Sus scrofa: one gene and its partner. The protein of the gene in region 1 binds, or shares a complex with, the protein of each later gene. Links are inferred from orthologs where the notes say so. Each region holds a gene or a part of one and is shown in the gene's direction. Other genes may lie near its edges.

Region 1 (3,518 bases):
AGACAGTTTATCCTGCCCTGCAGCCCTTCTGAGGGTCTCTTACAGAGGAGCCTTTTCAGATTGGCTAATTGCCTATTCTTGCCTCTAGGGAGGCCATTGCCATTGCCAAGGCCCGGCTGCGCCCAGAGGACCCAATCCTGAGAGACCTGTACCTCAGCTGGGGAGCCATCCTAGAAAAAGACGGTCATTATGCCTTAGCAGCCAAATGGTAAGTCTGAGGCAAAGAGGAGGGCGCCCAAAAAGAAGAGGTTCCACAGAGAGCAGGACAAGAATGGAAGCGAGGAGTTTAGAGGTGGGGTAAGGTGACCAGCAAATTAAAAAGCATATGTGTGTTAAACCCAGCTTCATAAGACTCATCAAGGTCTACCTACTTGGCATTTATATAAATGACCATAACTGTCCAAGAAATTACACCTTTCTTTGGGGATGTCTTCTATCATTAAGTGTGGAAAATGAGAGGGAATGACTTCTTTGCTTATGCTCAACTTGGCAACTGTTGAGGTTTCTTTTATCTCCTTAACCTGTATTATGCTGCCTCATTCCCTTCTGCGCTGGCCTCAGGCTTCACAGGGACAGCCACAGGCAGTGCCACAACCGGGACCACGGCAAAGCACGCTAGCAAAGTGGACAGAAAGAAATGATTCAACCCGCTATGAAGCAGGAGTAAGAGATCTGTCTATGACCCTTGGCTTGAGTTTTCTTTTGTATTTCAGCTATTTAGGGGCCACTTCGGCTTATGACGCAGCCAAAGTCTTGGCCAAAAAGGGGGACGCGGCATCACTTAGAACCGCTGCAGAGTTGGCTTCCATCGTAGGAGAGAGTGAGTTGTCTGCTTCCCTGGCTCTCAGATGTGCCCAAGAGCTGCTTATGGCCAGGAACTGGGTGGGAGCCCAGGAAGCCCTGCAGCTCCACGAAAGTCTCAAGGTCAGTCTGTTACTGCCTCTCCTGCTTTTAAGAGGGAAGAGCCCCAAGTCCTTTTCTAGTCAGAGTCTGAGTGAATTACCCAATTGGACAAGCTGTACCAATTTGGCAGCTATCCCCAGAAGCGTCCAGCAAGTCCTGGCCATGCAGCGCCCCTTTAAGAACTGTGGCTTCTCCCTTACCCGACTCAGAGAAAGGGATAATGTGGTCCCTGAAAGGTATCGCCATTGCTTAGCAGCTCAGCCTCTCTGGGCTGGCAGTCTGGCCTCCCGTCATTGATGTCATCAGCACATCAGTGAAGAGAGAGGCTGGCTGGTGCTCTGCCCAAAGCAGCCCTCTTCAACTGTAAGCTGTAACGAATTGGGGGAAATCAAACCATTGTGTTAAGTATTCTGTTCCATCTGGTTAAAAATGAGTAACTTAAATAACCACTGTCCTTTTTGACACATCAAAATTCAGATTGTTTTAAAAGCATCAGCACACTCATCTAGGTTTTTTTTTTGTCTTTTTGCCATTTCTTGGGCCGCTCCCGCGGCATATGGGAGGGTTCCCAGGCTAGGGGTCTAATCGGAGCTGTAGCTGCCAGCCTACGCCAGAGCCACAACAACTCGGGATCCAAGACGTGTCTGCAATCTACACCACAGCTCACGGCAACGCCGGATCGTTAACCCACGGGGCAAGGGCAGGGATCGAACCCGCAACCTCATGGTTCCTAGTCGGATTCGTTAACCACTGCGCCACGATGGGAACTCCCTCACCTAGTTTTTAAAACATGTAAACATCTGGTCCATTTTAGACAGCTTTGCTTGTCAGGCAATATGTGAATTTCTTCAGTTCCTCTTTCCCTTCAGTACTCAGCCTAAAGACCCGAGTTCCTAGCTGAATATTCCTTACCCAAGAAAAATGTTAGGCGAGGCGTAGCTTTCTGGGAACTGCAAAATAAAAAATGGAGGTAAAAGTAGAACACCCTCAAAGGATAGTGTCGGTTAGTATATTATTTATAAAGTGACCAAATTTAGAGAGATAACCATAACAAAAAAAAGTTTCCAGAGTGGTTATTTGGCACTTCTTTTTTTTCTCCCCTAAAATGGCAACCTTAATAAAGCAAAAAAACCTAAGTTTATGCTAAACATTGTTCTGCTAAGGGCTGTTTTGGCTATAAGAACAAAGACCTTCCCAAGCTTAACTGAGAAAATATTATGGGGGTACACAAGGAATCTCATGGCAACTGAAAATCCAGTAAAAATAAGTATTTCTCCAGGCCTTTTCTCTGCTTTTGTTCTCTTCTAGTTGACTCCCTCGGTTAAACCTCCTTGGACATGGCCCCTAACCACTGCCCCGGCCCTTAGAGCTACACAACTTGTCTGTTCCAGCACCTTCTGCCTGTTAAGCTTTAACTTCTGTATTCCTTAATCTGAGGTTTGGGCAAGGGGAAAAAACTGGATGAGTCCACCCCCTCTTGGCTCAAACTGGGCCACAAGTCGTAGGTAGCTGGGCTGCATGTGGCTTAAGTTTCGGTGAATAGGGCTATAGTTGGGATTTCATGTTGTAAATATGGTTGCTTAAGCTCCAAGGGCTCTGGGTAGGAATCTTTCAAAAGGCATCTGGAAAAATTGTCTGTGGTTGCTCAAATGCAAAGAGGGAGACTGAGAGACTGGAGAAATCTCCAGATAACTGAGCACTTCCCTGCCTGACAGTTCCTCTCCTTTGTTGTTGGTTCCAGGGTCAGAGATTGGTGTTCTGCCTTCTGGAGCTGCTGTCCAAGCAGCTAGAGGAAAAGCAGCTTTCGGAGGGCAAAAGCGCCTCCTCCTCTTACAATGCTTGGCCCTCGGGCAGCGAAGGGTGCTTCGTGGAAAGGGTGACCGCAGTATGGAAGAGCGCCTTCAGCCTCGACTCCCCAGAGCAGTACCAGGCAGCCCTTCAGCAGCTGCAAAATATCAAGTACCCATCTGCTACCAATAACACCCCCTCCAAACAGGTACCCCTGCACGTGAGCTTTTGATACTAACCTCTCAGGAGTAAGACTTCTTTAATCCACGTCTAGTACAACAAGGCAACATGTAAAATGCCAGTTTGCATTCTACAAAAAAAAAAAACTGGGGGAAAAACTGTAATTGCAATGTATACATGTAAGGATAACCTGACCCCCTTGCTGTACAGTGGGAAAATAAAAAATAAAAAAAAAAAAAACTAAGGCAAGCCCAAGAAACCTTGGAGAGATCCCTTCAGACTAATTAAAACCCTTTATTTTGGAAGTTAGTCTTAGAGCTGTATTCCCTTTTAAAAGAAAAAAAAAAAAAAGTCTAAAAATGAAGAGGAATACAATGAATAAGTACCTATCAATTAGAATTAACAGATGTTCACATTTTGTCATTTTTGCTTCATGGAGTTTTTTAGTTTTGTTTTGTATATTCTTTTTGTCTTTGGTAAAAGAAACAAAATCAGCTTGAAGTCCCTCATGTTCCCTTGCCCAGTTTCGTTCCCTTTCCCTGGCTTACCAAAAACAGCCCTTGCGTCAGACCATGTGCATTATTATGTGGCTTGTTTATGTGACCCCTGTCTGTAAAACTTGTCCATGTTTTTGCACAGAGAATAGG
Region 2 (3,518 bases), on another chromosome or scaffold:
AAAATTTAACAACTTTCAATTTATAATTTTCTTGAAAGGATCACTGGACTGGTGCTATAATTAATGTTGTTCATTACTGTGTAAAACCGCTATGATCTTGATTCTGCTATTTCACTTTAAAATTTCAGAGAAATTGTGATTTTTTCCCCCCCCGTTCCAAGTATAGTATAGACCTAATGGTCTTTTTATTTCAATTCTTATTTTATTTTATTTTATTTCATTTCATTGTTTGTCTTTTTTAGTGCTGCACCTGTAACACTTGGAAGTTCCCAGGCTAGAGGTCGAATTGGAGCTGCAGCTGCCAGCCTACATCACAGCCACAGCAACATGGAATCCAAGCTGCTTCTGTGACCTACACCACAGCTCACGGCAATGCCAGATCCTTAACCCACTGAGCAAGGCCAAGGCTCAAACCTGAATCCTCATGGATCCTAGTCAGGTTCATTACTGCTGATCCTCGATGTGAACTCCCTAATGGTCTTTTTAAAAAGACTTAATTTTTGTGATTATAAATGTATTCAATGTTTTTGCTGAAAATTAGAAAAAATATAATTTTGAAAATTTTACCCACAGTACTATAGTCATAGATAGCAGAAAGTTAGTGGTAGCTATATATTTGCTGGTCTTTTTGCCTTTTTGTATGTGCATATACATTTGTGTGGGTTTTTTGCTCTAGTTGTAGGGCTCTAATAAGTATAATTTTCATTTTTTTATTCTAAAATATTCTTAGCCATTGAAGTTCTTTGAAAACCTTACGAGGTGTATTGCTTCGCAGGTCATACCAAATCATGTATCAGTTTCCCCATTTTAACACTGCAGTGAGATTTAGGGGTACATCTGAGTATTTCCAAGAGAATCCTGTAAGTCAAATTACCAGTTCAGAGGTTAGGACCGTCATGGATGGAGTAGTCTGCAGCCTGCATGCTGCTTTGTCACCTGCCCAGCCCTACCCATCATGACCCTGGGTGGGCGCCTGCCACGCGCTTTGCACTCTGCTCTCCAGTGGGTAAATTCACAGGCATACACAGATAGACAATAATAGAAAAAGGTGTTGGAACAGTGAGAATCAGCAATTTTGCACAGGAAGCTTTGGGAGATGTTGTTTACTGTATTCTGCCTGAAGTTGGAACAAAATTGAACAAACAAGATGAGTTTGGTGCTTTGGAAAGTGTGAAAGCTGCTGGTGAACTCTGTTCTCTATCAGAAATTACTGAAATTAATGAGGCTCTTGCAGGAAAGCCAGGACTTGTAAACAAATCCTGTTATGAAGGTGGTTGATCAAGATGACACTTGATTGAGAACTATGTCTAGATACTCATGTCGCAACAGAAGAAAGGGTGGGGGAAAAAACTGTAACTGCAATGTATACATCTAAGGATAACCTGACCCCCTTGCTGTACAGTGGGAAAAAAAAAAAAAAAAAAAAAAAAAAAAGATGACACTTGAGTAAACCTTGAGACTTAGATGTACTGATGAGTGAGGAAGGGTATGAGAAATATATAAAATCTATTGAGTGAAAGTGGAATCCCTAAATAAACTAGTTTGAAACAAAGGGTAGGAATGTGTTTAAAGTTCTTAGTACACATGCCACTTATTTTCCATAAAGAATATACTACATTATACTCTGACCAGCATCCCAACTTTTTCTCTAAAGGGTCACTTGCAGAGCTAAGCTTCCCTGAATGGTGGAAGGAAAGAGAAGGCAATCAAAAGGGAGAAGAGCAATTAAGAATGTAAAGAGGTTCATACACATACAATGATAATAATGGAATGTTATTGTCCAGAACCATTTGGTTATAACAGCTGTGTTCATTGCTTCTGGATTTGGGCCCTATGCAGCCCTCCTATAGAACAATGCCTCAAATCTCATTTTGGTGGCAGAGATTTGCTCGCCTATTAAATATTTGACCCAGAAAGTTGCTTTTTAGTGATCCTTCATAAGTTATATCTAACTTTAATTTTCAAGCTTTGTAGTGTGTGTTGATGGGAATAGGATGGCAGCATATAGGAACTGGAATGCTCTCGCGTTTTGTGTTAGAGACCTTTCAGGTTTGTTTTTTTTTTTTTTTTTTTTGGGGGGCCATACCTGTGGCATATGGAGATCAGCAGGCTAGGGGACAAATTGGAGCTATACCTGCCAGCCTACACCACAGCCACAGGGACACCAGATCGGAGCCGCATCTGCAACCTACACCACAGCTCACGGCAACACCGGATCCTTAATCCACTGAGCAAGGCCAGGGATCAAATCTACAACCTCACAGTTCCTAGTCAGATTCATTTCTGCTGCACCACAACGGAAACTCCACCTTTCAGGATTTTTAGGGTTGGATTGGAATAGACCCAGTGTCCCAACTCGTTGTTACTCAAGTGGAGCTATTGTTATGCATTGATTTTTAGTATGTAGCTATAGTTCCAGTTTTAGTTATTGTTTTATAGCCTGATAGAAATATTTAAATTTTTTTCTAGTTTGGACCCAATTAAATCCTTTGAAGCTCCTGCAACCATCAATTCTGCATCTCTTCATCCTGAGAAAGAATTTCTTGTTGCAGGTGGTGAAGATTTTAAACTTTATAAGTATGATTATAATAGTGGAGAAGAATTAGGTGAGTTGTCCTCTTTTACTCCCTTAAAGTGATGATCTTTTTACATTTTGGTTTTTTTTGGGGGGAAAACTGATGGCTTTGGGTTGGGTAAGTGCAATATTATAGACCAAATAGAATCTGTTTAATTGTTTATGGTTCACCATTTATCGCTTGAATTAAGTGACTTTTAAATAAGAGATTCTTTCTGATTATTTAATGTCACTTTTCAGAGTTTTAGAATGTTTTGGCCGCATGTTAAAGAAGAGAAGTAAATTATTTGCCTGATATTTGTGGTCACAATTAGTGAAACTGAACTTGGACCCAGCCAGCCATTCTTATTTCAAAACCTAATATTCTTTCTACACATAATTTTTTACACTCATGATAACACGCTCATGATATTGTCTAGGAGGAGAGAGTGCATGAGTGTCCTTAAGTTGAATAGACATGGAGACTGAGCAGGGAACATTGCTGTAGTAAAGAGCTTTGGAAATTGATAAGGTGATGAGGTATTAGAAAGTAAAAGAAAAAAGGTTTATAAATAAGGATATGCCTTAAGCAGAACCACACCACTGCTGAACTGTACATTTTCTCATTAAACTCCATATGAGCATCAGCATTGATCCTGGATCTCAATGTTCTCTGTGGGATGGAATGACTAGTAGACCCTAGATAGTCTGATAGGAAATTAAGATGCAGAGTGTGTCAGATAGCTCCATCTGGTGGCTGTCTGTAGTCATAATAAGAATTGGTTCCCTGGTAAATAGTTGAGGATTTGGAAATGGGCAATCGATAGACTTTAGATTCTATAGATTTTAGAGGGTATTTTCCTTTCCTGGACCGCCCCACAGCACACGGACTTTCCCAGGCTGGGGATCAGATCAAGGCACAGTCACGACCCAAGCTGCAGCTGCAGCAATGCTGGATCCTTAA

Evidence for each region. Proteins that work in one complex are often made in the same cells at the same time.
Region 2: GEMIN5 (region 1) and STRAP share a complex: the UniProt entries of both Homo sapiens proteins name them as parts of the SMN-Sm complex. The link is inferred for Sus scrofa from reciprocal best matches to the Homo sapiens genes GEMIN5 and STRAP.

What each region holds. Positions count from the first base shown.
Region 1 is NC_010458.4:68,317,204-68,320,721, forward strand, and holds part of GEMIN5 (gem-associated protein 5), read left to right. Parts: intron 1-88; coding exon 89-208; intron 209-713; coding exon 714-924; intron 925-2,644; coding exon 2,645-2,899; intron 2,900-3,518. UniProt on the Homo sapiens protein: The SMN complex catalyzes the assembly of small nuclear ribonucleoproteins (snRNPs), the building blocks of the spliceosome, and thereby plays an important role in the splicing of cellular pre-mRNAs.
Region 2 is NC_010447.5:56,719,880-56,723,397, reverse strand, and holds part of STRAP (serine-threonine kinase receptor-associated protein), read left to right. Parts: intron 1-2,469; coding exon 2,470-2,606; intron 2,607-3,518. UniProt on the Homo sapiens protein: The SMN complex catalyzes the assembly of small nuclear ribonucleoproteins (snRNPs), the building blocks of the spliceosome, and thereby plays an important role in the splicing of cellular pre-mRNAs.